Linked DNA regions of Oryctolagus cuniculus. The protein of the gene in region 2 interacts with the protein of the main gene of each other region in a pairwise test. Links are inferred from orthologs where the notes say so. Each region holds a gene or a part of one and is shown on either strand. Other genes may lie near its edges.

Region 1 (9,964 bases), on a different chromosome or scaffold from region 2:
GTGGCTTCAGCCCGGCTCAGCCCTGGCTTGTTGCAGCCATTTTGGGGAATGAACCAGCAGGTAGATTTCTCTCTCATTCTCTGTAGCTCTTTCAAATAAATAAAATCTTTTAAAAAAGTTTGTATAGGGGCCAGCACTGTGGCATAGCAGGTAAAGCCACCACCTGCAATGCTGGCATCCCATATGGACGCTGGTTCGAGGCCCGGCTGCTCCACTTCCAATCCAGCTCTCTGCTATGACCTGGGAAGGCAGTAGAAGATGGCGCAAATCCTCAGGCCCCTGCACCCACGTGGGAGACCCGGAAGAAGCTCCTGGCTCCTGGCTTCAGATCCATGCAGCTCCAGCCACTGTGGCCAACTGGGGAGTGAACTGGCAGAGGGAAGACCTCTCTCTCCCTTCTGCCTCTCCTTCTCTGTAACTCTTTCAAATAAATCTTAAAAAAAAAAATTGTGTGAAGTTTTACGAACCTTTTTGACTTCTGTAATATTTGTTATTTCAGGAAGCTTTTCCAGAGAAACCTGCTGCCCTTCCACTTGAGATATTAGGTCTTCTTGATTTATTTGTTTTTCTCTCTCTTCAACGTAAACAATTAGAATTGAAGTATCATTTCCTGAGATACCAAATTTTTTCAAAGCTTCTGAAATCTAAGAAAAAATACAAACAAAATCCAAAAGCATCAAGATAATGAGTCGGGGTTTCCTGTACCTGAAACACCTCCTGGTCCACCATCCTCCTTGGTACAGTTCTTCTTCACCTGGAAACAGCTGTCTGCCTGCTTTTCCCCTCAATCGTCCCTTTCCACCAACTACTGCTAGGGTCTCCAAGGCACCCCGGGCCTTTAGCCGACCTGGTTCCTATGGAATCAGGCCCAGACTCCTTGGCACTTCACATAAATAGCCCACTCCCACGGCCCAAGTGACCCTCTAGCCACATGCCCCTGGCCTCTCGGGCTTGGGGATCCTGCCAGATTTCACTCTGTCTCCCCCTTTCCCTGCAGCCTGACCACCGAATGTGTGCTTCAAGGCCTGGTTCAGCTGCCACTCTGCCACACCCTTCTTCTTCCGTTACCCCGACAATTAACATCATATTTCCATATTCACTGTAGGGCACGTTAACTTTTGTCTTGTTTATCTGCCTTTCCTCAGGAATATATTTGCATTTTCTGCCCCTGGCACTGTAAATGGGACAAGTTCCATGTCCATTGAACAGTTTCGTGAATTATTTCAAATGTTTTCAAAGAAATAACTAATCTGGTAAACTGTATTCCAGGTACTGGAGAATTCCATTAGCAGGCTGAGGCAAGTGCATTTTACAAACTTTGTAATTATCTGTATTTCAGACCATGCCACAGGTTTCCTAATTTTTCTCTTGATGCTGTTAGTACCAGGTTGCATTATTAACAGTAGTAGTAGCAGCAATACTAAAACTTCATTAGCAAAATTTCAGGCATTTTTGCATATACAGTGTGTGGAATGCCTTTAGCTCAATAACTTTTTCTTTTAAAAGATTTATTTATTTAAAGGTAGAGTTACATAGAGAGGTTTTCCATCTGCTGGTTCTCTCCCCAAATGGCAACCAACAGGTGGGGCTGGGCCAGGCTGAAACCAGGAGCTAGGAGCTTCCTCTGGGTCTCCCACATGGATGCAGGGGCCCAAGCACTTGGGCCATCTTCTGCTGCTTTCCCAGGCACATTAGCAGAGAGCTGGATTGGAAGTGCAGCAACCAGGACTTGAACTGGTGCCCATGTGGGATGCCAGCACTACACGAGTTGGCTTACCCACTACCCCACAGGGCCAGTCCCTAATTCAGTTAGCTCTTATTGGGAAAGTATTATTGTGAGTATTTCAAGCTGTGGACTCTTCCTGTGTAGTAGATGTATGAGCAGGCTTTATCCCTTCACCTGTCAATCTACCATGCCTGCCTTCCCAGGATGCACCTGTGTCTCATCCAGGTCCAAGAAGGAGAAGCCATGATGGCCACATGGAAGTGGATGTGCCATAAAAATCTCAGAGAGCTCATGCATGCTAAGACCTCCCCTCCATTTGTTATTTAATTGACACCACCCCTACTTCATAAAAGCAGCTGATAACAGAGGAGGGACCTTCTTTTGCCCTTTGCCATGCTTGGGGACCCTTCTCTGGCTTTCTTTCTCTCTCTTCTCATGGGCACTCTCTGGCCCATTCTTGACAGGTATTTCTATGTGTGGGGCAGCCCACTCACCATGCATGTACATTCACTCTCACTTTTAAATAAAAACTTTTCACTTGTGCACTGTATTATGCCTCTGCTTTGAATTCTCTCTGTGCGGGGCCAGTCCTAGAGTAAAGATTAAGATACCAGGGCCGGCGCTGTAGCATAGCGGGTAAAAGTCACTGCCTGCAGTGCTGGCATCCCATATGGGCGCTGGGTCGAGTCCAGGCTGCTCCACTTCTGATCCAGCTTCCTGCTAATGTGCCTGGGAAAGCAGTAGACGATGGCCCAAGTCCTTGGGCTCCTGCACCCTTGTGGGAGACCCAGAAGAAGCTCCTGGCTCCCAATCAGTGCAGTTCCAGCCATTGTGGCCATTCGCTGAGTGAACCAGCAGATGGAATTCTCTCTGGCTCCGCCTTTCAAATAAATAAAATCTTTTAAAAAAAAAGATTAAGACATCAAGGCCCATATCACCAGTAAGTTCCTGGTACACAGAAAGGACAAGAAGTTTACAGGGAGAGTGAAACACGTGCCTGCTAACACATCAACTGTCCGTGCCTAACGTCTGGTCATTGAGGTTTCCGCCTGTTTCTTAAACATCAGTACTGACGAGATCTTCCCAATCCCGTATGTTAAGAAGGACAAACAAAACTAGCCTCCCTAGCTTAGCTCAACTTCTGTTTTCCTCACAAGCAAACTGGCTCCAAGGCCGACTCAACTATTCAGAGGCAGAGCTCCACTCAACTCTCTGTCCAGAGCTCTCTTTGCAGTTATTCTGGTCTATTCCTAATAACTGGTTTGCAGGAACTCAGTCTCCGACCCATGTCTGGGGAACACACAGATCATTAGGACAAGGTTAAAAGAAACAGTGAATGCCACCTTACATTGTTGTTTGGGGAGAGGTTGAAAATAATTTCCGTAGACAGTGTTCTTGTCTTCATTTTTCCCAGTTTGTAGAGGTGAACGGCTTTGTTTGCTGCCACAAGTATCTGAAATGGATCGACAATCTACCAAAGAGAACAACAAGAATCAGAGATTCTGGCACACCCTGCAGACACGGGCCTTATCCCAGGGTCGCTCCAGTGTCAAGCTGCCTTAGCTTATCACAATTCTTGTGGAGTATACTTTCAAAACTATTACATCAAAGGTCTGGATACTGAAAAAAATCAGAATAGTAAACTTTAAATAAACAGTAAGAATGTTTAACATTTATCCAGGGCTAATATTATCAGAAAGGTCCATTCTAAAACATTTTACCTGTATGATCCTTAATCCTAAAGCTACCCACAGAAACTGACATTATTCACAGGTAGTAGCTGAGGAGACTGAGGCGTGGCGTGTCAGGGTGTGAATCACAGCTCTCCCACCTAGGGGAGCTGGCTAAGTTAGAGACAAAAAATGCCAGAACTCACTTCACCAGGTTGTTGGGAAGGTGAGTCAGAATTAGAAGAACGACACTTAGAGCAATCCTAGGAGCACGTCAGTGCCACATAAAGGCTGGCTGTCACTTGCTCGGAGCTGCAGTAAGCAGCAGAGCTGTGGCTGGGTCCCGGTCACGTCGTCTTAACCGCGGCACCACGCCTCTCCAGACTGGCTTCCTCACAACGCTCATCTCACAGATGAGCAGCTGGGGTCCCTGGCGTCCACCACGGGGGTCAGCCACACTACCTTTCCTTTTCCCTGGGGCAGGGCCTGGTGCTTCTGTGTCCACTCACTGTTAAATTCAAGGTTGGCCAAGTCTGAGTTGGATGAGAACTTTTCACTTGATGCTAAGATTGTAGGCTAACCAGTAGCATGGTGAGAAAGTGGCACAGCCTTAAATGCCTGCGTGGTGCCTTCATTCTCCCATTTTGTACTCACCACTGTAGGATTTATCAGTGAACCATCAATGGTGCCTTCCATGGCCTTTTTTCTCAGGTCTCCAGCATTTTTTACATCTTTAAACAACAAAAGGGTCACCCTGCATTCGGGAAACAGGTCCAGCTGGTGCATTAGCTGCATTTCACAGATAAGCAGGACTCCACTGCACAAACCCAAAAAGACTAATAAGTTTCCTTTGTTAACATTATGATTCATTCCTTCACAAACCAGTATCCTTGCCAACAAATAAGTAAAAGTAGCTGTAACAGCAGCACAGAACGGTTAAACGAGAAAACCCTGCTCCCAAGCACATCTGTCTTCTGAAGCCCACTGAGCTGCCTGTAGTTCCTTTACTGCTGCTGGAAGAAAGTCTAACCAGCCAGTCTGTTCGTCCAGATGAGCAGGCTGGGGTGCGGGGGGCTGCACCAGGGGGCTGCTTCCCAGCAGATAGCTAGGAGCAGAACACCTGTGGGACTAATGAAACCTTACTCTCAGCCTTTGTAACTTTCTGGCTCACCACTTTGTATTTTAGCAAGACCTGCACACAAATGTTAAGGAATAAAATAAAATTTGAAAGATGAAGTATCACAACTTACCCAAAGATACTCATTCCACACATGGCAATTAGGTAGAGAGGACATGATTATTAAAGAATCAATAATATGTTGGCCCTTCCTTAGACACAGGCATAACACGGAAAGGATAGAAATGAAGACGTTTTATTTATTTATTTGAAAGGCAGAGTTAGAAAGAGAGAGGAACCTTCCATCAACTGGCTCCCTCCCCCAAATGGCAGCAATGGCCAGGGCTGGGCCAGGCTGAAGCTGGGAGCCAGGAGCTGCTTCTGGGTCTCCCATATGGTGGTAGCAGCCCAAGCCCTTGAGCCATGTTCTGCTGCTTTCCCAGGCCCATTAGCAGGGAGTTTGATCAGAAGTGGAGTAGCTAGTACATGAACTGGCACCCGTATGGGATGATGGTGTCACAGGAAGCATCTTAACCCACTATGCCAGAACGCTGGACCTAACAGACAGTTTTAAAAAAGACAATTTAAAGGGCCCATATTGTGGCATAGTAGGGTAGGCTGCTGCCTGAGAAACTGGCATCTCATATCAGTGATGGTTCGAGGACAGGCTGCTGCATTTCCAGTCCATCTCCCTGCTAATGTGCCTGGAGAAGCAGCAGCAGATGGCCCAAGTTCTTGGGCTTTTGTCACCCATATGGGAGACACAGATGGAATTTGTCTCTTGGCTTTGGTTGGGCCGAGCTGGGGCTGATGCAGCTATTTGGGGAGTGAAGCAGAGGATGTAAGATATTTCTGTTCCCACCCCCTCTTTGTAACTCTGCCTTTCAAATAAATAAATTAAAAAAAAAAAAAAAGATAGCTTGAGTAACTAGAATGGTGCTATGCTTTAGATATTAGTCCAGTTGTCCTCCAAAGGCCCGGCTGTTAAAGGCTTGGTCCCCAAAGTCTTATGTTAATGTATCCACTATCATTTCAGAGGCAGGGCCCTTCGGAAGTGATCAGATTGGATTAGGTTGCTGGGTAGAGCCCCCAGGGACCACGGTGGCTTTCTAAGGAGCCGCAGACGGACACACTCCCACTTGCCATGTGATGCTCTGTGCTACCTGGGACTTTTCCAGCAAGAATGCCATTACAGATGCTGAGCCAACAGGGCCACCAGATCTTGGGCTGTGAACCTCCAAACCAAGAGCTGAAATAATTCTCCTTCTCTCACAGCTTCCCAATCCGAGGTACTGCATTGTAGAAAGAAAAAGCTGACTATTACAAATGACCTAACCACTTCCTTGAATGGAACATCTTCAGAGTCTTAACGAGGTATTTGGGTAGGAAAATCTGATGGGGCCATTTTGTCCTTTTATCTGGTGGGTCCCAGATTTCTTTTTCTCAAGGAATTATTTGGAAATGTGAAGATTACATAACAAGATGCTCCTCTTGTCGTTTTATCAGTGAAAAGTTGAAAACCTATTCAGCCAATGACAGGATTGGTTGTAACTAAACAGCCATTTACAACTGTAGCCTTGATGATGTATGAAAACAGCAATAAATAACATTAAATAAAAACATCTGAAAAAGCAAAATGTGGGGTCTTTTAAAAAGTTATTGACTTGCTAGAATTACCTGACATTTTCTGTTGCAAGCAGAAAAATAAATGTGTTAAAATGTCCTGACACATGGTTCATTCAACCTCTAATCATGCTGATGTCCAATGAAAAAGATACAGAAAAATAATCATTATGATCTCAATTACCAAACGATGCACACACACACACAAAGGAAACACCAACATATGGTCATCTTGGGTAATAAGATTATTAGGTGATTGGTATTGTCTTTTACAGAACTATTTTGTTGTACATGTTCTGAATTTCCTATGCTGAGCACACAAACTTGAGTACATAACACTAGAAGAAAAGAACCTTTAGAAGACTTGAACACAGTTTGCTTGCGTTTGGCGTAATTCACTCACTGAGAGGGCAGAAATTTACAACCTGTGGGGCATGCTGAACTGTCCCCCGGCCACCCGTCCCATCTACAGCAGCGGCCTCGCGAGAGAGGCCTCCTCACAACTCCGCCTCCCGGAATCTTACCCCGGCTGCACTCACTGCGACCCTCTCTAAACGCACCTCAGGCCTCGTCGCCCTGCGGCTCTGGGAACTCAGCCGCGACTGTCCCACCAGCCCGGCAAGGGCGTCCCGGCGTCCCCTCACCTCGCGGCCTCCTCCCAGGGGCTCCCTCCCTTCCCGTCCACATCTGCTCGAGCGCTCAGCGATGGAGAAACATCTACGCGAAGCACCGTACACCCGCAAGAACACCGCTCCCACTGCCCGCCCTCCCAGTCCGGCCCGCGGGCTCGCAGGCAGAACTCACCGGCCGCCTCCGGTCCGTCCTCGAAGAGCTCCGGCTGGGAAACCAATCTCTCGGCTTCCGGAAGTGGTGCCCAATCCCCGCCCTCCCCGAGCCGCTTCCGGGTAGGCCGGCCGGATTGGGATCCCGGAGGTTGTGGTCCCTGCTCTCTGACCCTTCCACCCAAGCCTTGAGTCCCGCTAGCGGACGCGAAGAGGAACGGGATCTGTTCTTCGTTTCCGGCAAAGGAGTCGGAAAGGATGCCGGAGCCGGAAGCTGAGGTCCAGTTCGTAGTCTGGGGTTTGTGTGGGGCCGTGCAGGGGGCGTCGCCTTCCCTCTGAGCAGGGCAGAGCATTGTCCCAGATGAGCTCTGCCCGGGCCTCTGCTGCCGGAGATGCCCAGGGTCTTTTTCGGGACTGTTTGCTTCGGGCTCTCACAGCGGTCTTTTAGGGAGGAGGCCCTGGAGCCGACAGCGCTCCGATTTGCATATCGATAAAGAAATGGGGTGCGTGGCCCTGAACGCTCGGCCTCCAGGAGAGGAAGTTTTCAAACTGTCTTCCATGTTTGCAGGCTGCCGCCCATCTTTATCCCTTTGCATGGGGAGACAGGTCAGTAAGCTGTGGAGAACAAGAAGAGGGCGGGGCGCGTGCCAGGCTGTGGGTGAAGAAAGATCGCACCACAAAAAGCCAGCAGGTCTGCAAGCAAGCTGCTGAATCTGAGACCAGTGTTCCAGGCAACGAACAGTTCAGCGGCTCTGAGATAAGGCCTCGGAGCCTTTTACAGTGTGGCTGATCTACAGGTTCTGTTATCTATAGATCAGTGGTTGCTCAGATAGTGGGCCTGGGGTGGAAATGCAATAACCAAGGGGCATGAGGAAACTTTGAGGCAAGAGGTATGTTCTGCCTTGATGGTAATGGCTTCATAATGTATTTAGGTCAAAGCAAGTCACACAGTATAACTTAAAAAAATGTACTGTGTATTGTATGTCAATTATTTCTTATGCTGTTTAAACAATGAAGTAATACTTTATCTTTTTTTATTAGAATAGGCAAAATAAAAAACACAATACTATGTAATTGGAACTTCATACTTTGTTGATGGGCATGTGAAATAGTGGAGCCATTTTAAAAAAAAATATTTATTTATTTACTTATTTATTTGAAAGTCAGAGTCAGAGAGAACAGGGGTTGGGTGAGGCTGAAGCCAGGAACCTAGTATTCCATCCATGTCTCCCACACGGGGACAAAGGCACACACAAGGCACACACACTTGGGCCATCTTTTGCTGCTTTCACAGGTGCATTAACAGGGAGCTAGATAAGAAGTGGAGCAGCTGGGATGTGAACCCGCACCCATATGGGATGCCAGCATCATAGGCGGTGGCTTAACTCACTGTGCTACAACGCCAGCCCCAGTGGAGCCATTTTGGAAAAGCATGACAGTTTCTTATAAAATTAAACACACCCTCATCCCCTAAAAGCAGTGCCACTCCAGGAGAAATAAAAACATGTTCACATAAAAACCCATGTGCAAAAGTTCATGGCAACTTTATTCAAAATTTAAAAGCTGTAAGTGACCCAAATATCCCTCAACTTGTATATGACAAACTAAGGCATACTTATACAATGGAACACTATTTTAGCAAAAGGGAATAAACTGTGGATGCACTCAGTGACATGGATGCATCTCAAAAGCAGCATGCTAAATGAAATAAGCCATTTTTAAAATAAAATTTATTTATCTAAAAGGTAGAGTGAGGGACAGAGAAGGATATCTTCCATTTACTGGTTCATTCCCCAGATGGCCACAACAGCCAGAATTAGGCCAGGTCAAAGTCAGAAGCCAAGAACTCCATCCAGGTCTCCCATGTGGGTGGCAAGGACCCAAGAACTTGGGCCATGAGCCACTGCTTTTCCAGGTGCGTTAGCAGGAAGCTGGATCAGAAGCTGAGCAGCTAGGACTCACACTCTGATATGGGATGCTGGTGTTGCAAGTGGTGGTTTAACTTGCTGCCCTACAACACCGATCCCAAGAAGGCCTATTTGAAAGGTTATATGCCCCATGAGTGCATTTACGTGACATTCCCCAAGTGGCGAATGGACAGCGGTGAAAATCAGAACTGCAGCTGCCGGGGCCTGTGTTGGCGGGATGATTGGCTGCCAAGTGATCTGATGGGAATATGGGAAGGGGTGGAACTGTTCCATATTTTGGTGTGGTAGTTACAAATGCTGGTCAAACCTATAGAACTGTATATTAAAAAAGGATGCATTTTACTGTTTTTCTTTAAAAAAAAGGAAAAAAGTCATCCCCAAATAAGGCTGATTCTTTATCTACAGCTGTAGGGGTATAGACTCTATGTATCAAATTAGAATTTTCTAAGATAACAACCTTGTTCTCTGCAATATGAGAGTACTTCAAATTTCATGGAAAAATAATGAAAAGTTTTGGTGCAGAAAAAGGGAAATTGATGCAGTTTTTTCAAAGTATTCATCTGCTAAGAACTTTCTGAAGACCCCCTCACACAGACTTGCTAACTATGCCGTTACTATGTGTTTACAATGACACTAACACGAGATGTGCTTTCTGAACAAATGGGGCATGTGAAACACTCAGACTCCAAAAACTACTCCCACCTAATGGGTGAAAAGAACCCCAAAAGGGAAATCAGTTGTTTAAAAAAACAAAAACTTTGTGAGCAATTAAAAGAAAGCAGCTCCAAGGTTCCAATCACAAAATAATGCGAAAGGAGAAATGTTGACTACTCTCATTTGATCAGTGCAGTTGTACACATGTAGTAAAATTATTAATAAAATTTCTTTTCATTTAAAAAATTTCTTTATGTAAGAAGCATTAGTGAGACAGGCAGACAGAGAGTTAGTTCACTAGCCAAATTCCCACAATGGCTGGGCCAGGGCTGGAGAAAGAAGCCAGGAACACAGTCCAAGTCCCCCATGTGGGTGACAGGAACCCAATTATTTGAGCCGCTACCTGCTGCCTCCCAGGGTCTACATTAGCAGGAAGCTGGAATCAGAGCTTGGAACTCCAGGCA
Region 2 (9,944 bases):
TCTCATCTACCAAGGCCGAGCCTCGGCTGGAACACTCGCCAGGCCCTGCCTTCAAGGCGTTAACTGCGTCCTGGAAGCATTTCCAGGCCTGTGGACCAGCTACAGCCCTTGTCGATGACAGGACACGGACCCCTGTCCATTTCAGTGCTGGACACAGCCCAGGTCACAGCCCACTGCATTCAGTCAATGATCCCGGGCAAGACCAGGCCCAGCTGCCTCCTCTGTACGATGAGTTAGTGCATGCGAGAACCTAGTGACAACTCAACTACTTACTGGGGCTAAACAGTTGGGTGCAGGGGCCGGTGTCATGGTGTAGTGAGCTAAGCTGCTGCCTGGGAGGCCAGCATTCCATATCTGGGTGCAGGTTCAAGTCCCAGCGGCCAAGCTCTGACCCAGCTCCCTACTAACGCACCTGGGGCAGCAGCAGCAGATGGCCCAGGTAACTGGGCCCCTGTCACCCATGTTCCAGGCTCCTGTCTTTGGCCTGGCCCAGCCCTGGCTGTTACAGCCATTTTGGGGCATGAACCAGCAGCTGGAAGCTAACTCTTCTCTCCACCCCCCATCACTGTCTTTCAAATAAGTCATTTTTTAAATTGGGTTTGAATCGCAGCTATCACTTACTGTGATCCTAGAGCCCCCTCACACTGCTGAGTGTTCTGCACCTGGGATGGGGGATTGTAACCCTTGTTGGGATTGCAACTCTGAAGGCCCCTTAGCCCTCGGGAAAGGAACCCTCGGCTCCCCTGGGGCTTCTGTCAGAACACGGATGCGACAACACTGCTGGGAACAACCCTGGCTTTTATCCAGCCCCCAGCATTCCGATCTCTCCCCTCATTAGTGCTTCCTATGCTGCTGCCTCCCCCCACCCACCCCACGGCTGCTGGCGGCCACATTCCACGCGCTGCCGGGTGCCATGCCCCGGCCAAGGGGTTGCAGCACACTCCCCACTGCTTCCGCCGCCACCACCACCACCACCCCCAGCCCCAGCTACCTCCCTAGTGGCCCAGCCAGGTACAGCAGCCTTCTCACTTCCTGGCTTCTTGCTCCCCCTCTTGCCCCTACACTTTCTGTACAGGCATCTAAAGCAACCCTTTCGAAACACTGATCGGATGTCACCCTGCTTTAGTCCCAGTAAGAGTAAAATCCAGCCTGTGACCGCCCGGGCTCTACCCAGCTCTCCAATCCCATCCTCTCTTCATCCTGGCTCCCTCACGCCAGCCACTGCAGCCTTGCCGCCCCGCCCCTCAGGGACGGTCCTCGTCACCAACTTCCGCAGGGCACACTTCGCCCATCTCCTGAATTGCTCGTTCTTCACATCTACCCTCACCCCTGCAGTACACCGACTTGGGACTTCCTCACTTCTCCCAGGCGCTCTCCAGGGCCTGGCACACAGCACACAACAGGGATTTGCTGACTTATGCCCACAGGCGTGGATCAACCAGTCACACGCCCCACGAGGTAAGTATTAGGCTTGTAGTACAAACGAAGAAACTAAATGAGCCCTCTCAGTCACGCTGAGTCTATCAATTCAAACAAAGTCACTGGCAGCTCCCGGGGCCCTGCAGTTCTTCAAAGCTGCTGGGAGCCCCTCCGTACTATCCTAACACAGAGATGGGTCATGTCCAGTATCTCCTACAGACCAGGGGAAGACAGGGGCTTTGGCGCCAGGGACAAGTTCCTCCTGCTCCTGTGACATCGTGAGCAGTGAGCTCCTTTCTAGTCTGTTTCCCCAACCATTCAAAGACAGTACCTGACTCAGAGCTGTTTCCACAGGCACAGTGCTCAACAGTCAACAGCCACGCGAGGGCTCCTCTCCCCCAGTCACTAGCAGGGAAGGGCCGCCTCCATTCAGGGCACCTGAGTGGACGCTGACTGTGCTGACCAAAACAGACATGGTGCCAGTCTCACCAGAATGTCCGTTCCACTGGAGCAGGCGCAGCCCTTTGTAAGAGGAAAGAGAAAATGAGGCTCTAGAGCACGTATCGTGCTTTGCCATGACCCTTAACAGAAACACGTCCGAAGCAGCTTTCAAAGCAGCTTTCATCAAACAGTGCGCTCTGCTACCTTCTGGTCGGACTCTATCCCACGAGTCTGAAGACGAGCTCATCACCAACGGTCTGATGTGTCACCAGCAGCACCGACAGCGAACGTTCTGCTCACCCAGCCACAGGCTGCTTTCGATGCTATGTCTACGCACCTGAGGCTTACACACCAAAGCTGAAAGGCAGGCCTGCCCTGGATTGACTTTCTCGTGAATCATTCACTCAAGAGACAGACAGATGAAGGCAGAGAGTGCACTCCCCTGCACTGGTTCACTTCTCATACGCCCACGATGGCCGGGGTTAGGCAGGGACCAGAGCCCGGAAGGCAATCCAGGTCTCCCACAGGGATGGCAGGGGCCGGTTACTCGAGCCATCACTGCAGCCTCCTAGGATCAGCGCTGGTGGGAAGCCGGTCGCGCCACACCCAGGCACCCCGAGACAGGACACAGGGGTCTCAACCGCTAAGCTGATGCCCAGTCCTGGATTGACTGCAAACACCCAGTTCTGCCTGGAGCACCTCACGCAAGCTCTTAGGAATACTCACTGCAGATGGCGACACTCAACAGGCATGACCACACACACGGCTTCAAAACAGCTCGATACATTTATTGAGGCCTAGTCTCACGTTTGTAGAGTCCAGATTTACCCTGAAGATCGGCCTAGCCTTGTGGAGCCGCCTCGCGTCCTACCCGACCATCGACCGCTTTCTGCCCCGCAGCCGGACTTCGTCCAGCTTTCGGAGCACTGGCCTGGCCTTCCTGGAGGCGCTGGCGTAGCTCTTCAGGAAGGCCTCGAACACGGGCTCGGTGTTCGGGTGGGTGCTGAGGAAGGCCTTCTCCAGGACGTACAGGTCCACGCCCTTATCTTCCGGAAGCCCCGAGACGAAGCTCAGCCCAAAGTCGATGAGCACGATGCTCAGCTGCTCCGCCGGGGGCTTCAGGAGCATGTTGGAGGTCGTGAGGTCCCCATGGATGAGGTCTTCGTCGTGCATCCGAGCCAGCACCTGCCCGATCGCCTTGGCCAAGCCACAGAGGCTCTGGGGGGTTCCTTCAGAGTCCAGGGTGGACTGGATATAATCCCGCACCGTGACTGAGCCTTCGATTTCCTCCATGTACAAGCAGTTGGAAGCATAGTCCACGAAAAAGACCACTGGGGCACAGATGCCTGGAATCAAGACGCGGGGGGTTACTGGGTTGCATTCTTGGTTTTTTCCCTTAGTCAAGGCTTCATTTTCAAAGTTAAGTGAGTCTTCCAGTCTTTACTCACTTCAGGAAACAGCTTTAGGAAACGGCACAACTCGACTCTGGAACATTCTCGGGCTCAGGCCTGAGACCATTAAACAGCCCGGGGTAGGGGGGCCAAAGCTTCCTCCTTCCCCACACTACAACTTGGGGCTGAACCCTAGTTCTCACACCAACCTGGGAGCCAGCAGGGGAGGCCCGGCCCAGACAGAAGTTTCTGGACACAACGGAGCCCGGCAGAGTGGCCACGGGGAGGCTCATTTCGCAGTCTGTAAGGGTGGAGTCCGATCCCTGCGCTTAGCAGCGGTGCGACCTCGGTTTATGCTACTCATGGGGTCGCCACCCTCAGTGCGCACAGTCAAGGAGGCCACGTTCTAGAAACGGAGACCTCTCCCGGGGCTACAGCCCACGATCCCCGCTGCACGGCGCCTGCAGCGCAGAGAGGGGTGAACACAGACGCCCGCAGCTTCCGGAACCGCAGAAACGCCCGGGACTTGTCCGCCTGCTCTCCCCCAGCTTCCCCGCGCCTCCCAGCCCCCGACATGGCCCTGGTGTGCAGGAGGTCGGGAGGATGTGACCCGGGAAAGCTGCTGCCGCTCTCCCAGCCCCAGGTTCTCGGCTGAGGTCGGAGTTCCCGGCGGCGGGGCACAGGGGTGCTTTCATGAAAAAAATGAACGAATGAAGTCTAACACGTGCCAGGCTGACATTCAAACACAGCCGGCGACCGCTCACAGCGCCCCCGGAGGCGGGCTCCCCAGCACCGCTGCCGCCTTGCAGGCAAGGACGCCGAGGCTGCGCGAGACGCGAGCCCAGAGAGCCCGGCTGCTGTGACGGAAACCCTGACACCGCACGCGGGAAAACCCAAGGCCAAGGCGGCAAAGCAACCGTGCACCACCGAGCAACAGTCAGGGCCCAAACGCGCCAGCAACTCGCCCGGAGCGCATCGAGACCGGGCGCGAGGACGACGCGTCCCGACCGGGGGTCCGGGCGGCAGGCGCCAGTGCACCCCCAGGCCCCGGCCGCGCCGCCTCACCTGCGCGGCGGCAGCGGAGCAGCGCCCGCGCCTCCTGCACCGTCCGCCGCCGGCCGAGCCGCGCCTCCAGCGTCGGGTGCCGGTAGCCCTTGGGGAAGCGGTGCTTCACCACGGCCGCCCGGCCCTGGAAGCGGCCGCGGAACACGCGCGCCTCGGCGCCCTGCTTCACCAGCTGCAGGCCGCTCAGGAAGCGGCTGCTCCGCTCCAGGGCCGCGGCCAACGCCTCCGCCGCGGGCTCTTCGTGATTCTCTGTGGCACCAGCGTCGGGGGCCGCCATGGCAGCGCTTCCGCCCTCCCCGGAAATGCCGGCGACGCTTCCGCTCGCTCCGAAAATCCTCCGGGCTCTTCCGCCTCTCTAGCGGCTCCCCCTGCAACACTTCCGCCCTGGGAAAATGGTTCCGCCTCCCAACTTTCGGCTCCTGTCAGAGCCTTTGGTGCCCGCAGCGAACGGCTCTGTGACTCCGCCCCCAGCCCTTCGGCTATCTCCGTAAACGCTCGGCAACTCTCGGGAAATCGTTCCTCACCACTGCTCGGCACTTTCCGGAAGCCCTCGGTGACGCTGGCGAGCTGCCGGGGGCGGGGGTGCTCGGCTCCCAGTTCTTCGGCTCTTTCCGGAAAACTTCGGCTACTTTCGATTAAAACGATTTTTGGGGTGCTCTTTGCCCTTCTCAGGAGTTCCTCAGGATCCTGGAAAGCTTTGCGGCCAGTAGAGCCTTTTCGGAACTCACAAGGCTCACTGCAGTCAGAGCGGGTGCTGGGATAGCAACCACCGTTTCTCTCAGCGCCTTGGGGAATAATAAGGTTAAACGGTGGAAAACCCTCCTTACAGAAAACAGACTCAGGACTATGGTGATGGCCAGATCACTGGGGCCGAGAGGGGACAGAACCTAACTGTGTTGCAGAAATTGATGACTTTATCACAAGGCTGATAGGAGCAGTAACAGATTCTTGCTATAAAGAATTTTGCACTCAGTCATCAAAGATTGCTATACTCCTCACCAGGCCCCACAGAACTTTATATGTATCATGCCTTTCTAGATGCATTTTTAAAAGATTCGTGTATTTATTTATTTGAAATAGTTACAGAGAGAAAGGAGGAGACAGAGAGGTCTTCCACCTGCTGGTTCACTCCTCAAAAGACCATAATGGCCAGGGTTGGGCCAGGCCAAAGCCAAGAGCCAGGAGCTTCTTCCTGGTCTCCCACAGGGTGCAGGGGCCTGAAGCCTCGAGCCACCCTCTGCTGCTTTCCCGGGCCATTAGGAGGGAGCTGGATCAGAAGTGGAGCAGCAGGGACTCTAACCGGCACGCACGTGGGATGGCGGGTCACAGGCGGCAGCTTTACCTGCTACCCCACAGGGCCAGCCCCTCCACATGTTTTTATACAATGTGCATGCACACACATATCATTGTGAGGCTTCTCCCCCAACAGAAATGAGAATATGATGCACATTATTTTGCTACTTGCTTTTTTCCCCCTAAGCAGTTTGTCCCAGATAATCTTCCTTATCAGAATATCTAGAGCTGCCACATCCTTCTACAGGGTCAAACGGTTCCTTGTTGCTAAGTTTTAGTACATTTCTTATTGTCGTTTTACTTTCTCTTACGAAACGCTGCGATGAACAGGCTGATCCAGGCATCATTCATTGCAGCATGCACAAGTGTTTCTGGGGACGTCTGTCTACAAGTGATGTCACTGGGTGCAGGAGACAAGCTCTTTAAAATCCGATCCGTCAGCCAAACTGCCCTTCCAAAGGTCTGTGTCTTTTTAGAGTTCTATGCAAGTATATCCCATTTCCCTGCACCCTCATCCTCTCTGATTTTCCCAGGTTTTGAAAGGCCTAACCAGGTAGAGGAATGGGAGAGTGCTCGGGTTGCAGGCCCAAAGAATGAACAGGAGGCAAGGCTGGCTTGGACAAAGGCCAGCAGCTTGGTCATGTGACCTAAACCGCCAGGGAACAGCTCTGTGCTTTGAGTCCTGTAGCAGTTGGGGGCCAGGTTACGCGACTGCAGCCAGGTGACCTAAACGGTGGATGAAATATGAGAGATGTTTGGTTCTCTCTTATGCAACAGTGGAGATCAGCCGTCTTCCACCCATTGCTTCCTTCTCTGAGCCTTATTCCACTTGTCAGCTGCCCCACTCGGCGAGCCGGGACGAGGGCGGGCAGCAGATATTGAATAGCTAAGGACTTGACCCAGAGTGACACCCAGCATTCCCACTTCCATCCTACTGGCCAGAACTTGGTTGCCTGGTCCCAGGCACAAAGGCGGTTGGGAAACCTATCCCCCAGCAGGGCAGCAGAGGACTCAGCCAAAACCTTGGGGGGGTTATTACCAAAACAGGAAGTAGAAGAGAATATTAGGGGACAGTTAGTAGACTGTGGCATGGCACAGTTTTGACATTTTGAGCTGCAAGTAACCCATTAGTCAGTTAGTTAACTAGGGTAAACAATGAGCTCACTTGTTATCTCACACCATTTCAGGAAGTGGAGTATTCCAGCGATGATTCGGTCATCTTCTGAAAGCAGGGTCACAGGATCTCTGCATTGGCACCCAGCAGCCTCGGTGTGTTGTTGCCATCCTTGCCTGGTGGGCATGAGATGGCCATCAGAGCTCCCTTCATCCTGTGAAGACACAACCGCATCGCATTCAAGAGGAGAGGCGTGAGCCCTTGCACACCGTATTTGCTGGTTCTCCCTTCTATGCTGACTGCCCCTGCAGGACAGTAGCCACAGCTGGCCCCTGTGTCCAGAAGAAGCTGGAAAAGTGTGCGTCTGGCATCTTCAGACTCTGCGGACAAAGCAGGGGGGAAGGCGGCTGGGCATAGCTCCTGGGGAGCCAAGCGCCGGTGCCCGTCACCCTGGGTGCCACGGCGGCCAGCACCATTTCTCCGAGTTGCAGGATGGGATAGTCAGCTGTCCTTCAGCAAGTGCCTGTTGCGACCCACTGAGGTATGGCCCACGTGGGTGCCCGATGGATGGCAGACCCTGCCTGTGCTTGGCTGCTTCTGCCTTCCCGCAGTCCCGGGATCCACCAGAGACTCTGCAGAGAGGTCCTGCCACTCGGCAGCCCCCGGGTCTCCTTCACACACACACACACACGCCAGGGCGCCTTCGCAACTGGCAGACCTCTATGTTGGGACCGTGTGGACTCCAGCACGGGTCAGCAGCCCACACTAGCAGAGTGCTCCCAGTTCCCCAGGCTGTGGCTTCCTTATCATAACCACTGGTGGCCGCATGGCCAGCTCTGTGGTTACCAAAGCCATCTGAAGCCCCGCTTTAGAAATCTACAGCGAAGGAAGGAAGGAAGGAAGGAAGGAAGGAAGGAAGGAAGGAAGGAAGGAAGGAAGGAAGGAAGGAAGGAAGAAATCTGCAGTGCACACTTGTCTACAAGACCCAGGCTCTACTCAGGCTGTTCGGGCTTCTACAGTAGGGAAATGAGTTTAGAATCTGTTGCCTCCCCACTGCACTTTGGATGAAGACCCAATCCTTAATTCAAACCACGAGGCTGTGCGTGGGACCCCCGCATCCTCCTCCCCACCCATCCCCCAGCAAGCCGCCCTGGGATCTCCACACTTCTGACATATTTACCTTCTGTGTCTCTTGCATGCTCCCCATGTGCCCCCCACCCACACCCCCGGCCAGAATTGCTCTTCCCTTACTTTGTTGCCACGGCCCGTGCAGGCGTGCTTCCGTTGGCAAGTGTCACCTCCACACACACGCAGGCTGAATTTCTGACTTGCTACCTAACAATATCACGCAGGTGGGTCCAGCCATGCCTGAAGCACATATTCCAATACCTGTGAACCGATACGTTTGCTCTGTGCTGCAGACACTTTGCGATAGGTCCCTGGCACTTGCAACTCAAAGCCTGCTGACTGCCAGGATGACAAGCCTGTGGACAGAGCTAATTTGCAGACAAGTGACAGGGCCAGCCACGCTGCATGCGAGCCAGTGCCATGACCCTGAGAAGTAAGTAAACAGAGTTACAGGCCCCTGAGGGTTCCTGGGGTCCTTTTGCTATCATCACACATTTGTTTTGTTTGTTTGTTTGTTTTTTGTTTGACAGGCAGAGTTAGACAGTGAGAGAGAGAGACAGAGAGAGAGACAGAGAGAAAGGTCTTCCTCCCATTGGTTCACCCCCCAAAATGGCCGCTACGGCCGGCGCTGCACCAATCCGAAGCCAGGATCCAGGTGCTTCCTCCTGGTCTCCCATGGGGTGCAGGGCCCAAGCACCTGGGCCATCCTCCACTGCACTCCCAGGTCACAGCAGAGAGCTGGCCTGGAAGAGGGGCAACCAGGACAGAATTCGGCGCCCCGACCAGGACTAGAACCCGGTGTGCCGGTGCCGCAGGCAGAGGATTAGCCTAGTGAGCCGTGGCGCCTGCTCACACAGTTGTTACGCAGCAATTTTGTGGCAACATCTAACTGCTGCAAAGGGAGGCATAGAGCCGTCTCCTTCCAGCGGCTCAGCCTCTGTGACTTCTGGGGAATGCTTGGAGACTTCGCCACGTGTGCCTGTGTGCCACCCACTCGCTCCAGTGCGCGTGCTGGTGGCCGCTGGGATGTATCCAGTTTGGGAGATGATTTTGCCAGCATCCTTGTTTTAAAAACAGAGTATTACACTGCTTCTGTACAGACCCCACTCTCAGGGAGGGTGTGTGTGTGTGTGCGCGCGTGATTGCAGGCGGTGAGCCTGGCAGGTAAGGCAGGAGTCCCTGATTCAGCCTCCTGCTAATGCAGACCCAGGGAGGCAGCAATGATGACTCAAATAGTCGGGCTCCTGCCACCCAAACGGGAGCCTTGGACCGAGTTCCCAGCAGCCACAGCGGGAAGCCAGGGAGTGAGCCAGCAGAGGTGAGTTCTTGCTCTCTCGCTGTGATAAATAGACAATTTTAACATCCAGATAGCAAATATTTTGGGCTTTGCATCATCTCTTTTGCAGTTCAACTCTGCTCTTGTAGTGTGAAAGCCACATGGAGTATCCGTAAATGAACAGGCGTGGCTGCGTCCGGGGACACTTGACAGCCGCCGCGGGCTGCTACCTGTGGTTGTCTGACTCCCGCTCTGCACGCCCAGGCTTCAGTTCGCCGCAGTCCTCACCAGTCCCCATTGCCTTATGCCCAGCTCACTGTAACACTTGTGATCATGTCTGTGGCATCTATCGGCATCTGAGTTTGCAGCCCCTAATTTAAGTTCTTTTTAAGGGTAGAGTTTGGGGAACAAGACCAAGAGGTCCTATATGCTGCCTCTTGGGGTGGACGAGGAGAAAGTCGAACTCCTCCCACAGTTACTACTGAGCTTCTGTGTGCTGGGCATTATGCTAGCTGTTTATGTTGATCCACAACACCGGGGATGCAGAAGAGAATAAAAGAGACTAAAAAAAGCTTCACGCTCATGGAGCTTCATTTTAATGGGGTGACACAGTGAACACATAAATAAGACATACAGTGTGGTAGTGGCAAATACATTAATAAATATTAATAAATAAATAATATGTACGTGTGTGACAACAGACATTTCTTATGGTTGTGATGATGGTTGCGCTCACCTGTGAGACTGACCAGACTGTGCCCTTCCAGCATGTGCAACTTGTGATCTGTCAATTGCACTCCAACAAAGCTTACGGAAA

What was found. The genes of interacting proteins can lie anywhere in the genome.
Region 1: the proteins of TP53RK (region 2) and TPRKB interact in binary tests that used the Homo sapiens proteins (3 or more experiments, as listed by UniProt). The link is inferred for Oryctolagus cuniculus from reciprocal best matches to the Homo sapiens genes TP53RK and TPRKB.

Annotation. Positions count from the first base shown.
Region 1 is NC_091433.1:129,224,664-129,234,627, reverse strand, and holds the start of TPRKB (EKC/KEOPS complex subunit TPRKB), read right to left. Parts: upstream 6,401-9,964; 5' UTR 6,253-6,400; coding exon 6,191-6,252; intron 5,810-6,190; exon of another isoform or gene 5,677-5,809; intron 4,214-5,676; coding exon 4,051-4,213; intron 3,198-4,050; coding exon 3,075-3,197; intron 645-3,074; coding exon 468-644; intron 1-467. UniProt on the Homo sapiens protein: Component of the EKC/KEOPS complex that is required for the formation of a threonylcarbamoyl group on adenosine at position 37 (t(6)A37) in tRNAs that read codons beginning with adenine.
Region 2 is NC_091442.1:12,874,888-12,884,831, reverse strand, and holds TP53RK (EKC/KEOPS complex subunit TP53RK), read right to left. Parts: upstream 4,646-9,944; 5' UTR 4,594-4,645; coding exon 4,317-4,593; intron 3,207-4,316; coding exon 2,728-3,206; 3' UTR 2,628-2,727; downstream 1-2,627. Other genes in the region: SLC2A10 (solute carrier family 2, facilitated glucose transporter member 10), read left to right, coding at 8,257-8,284.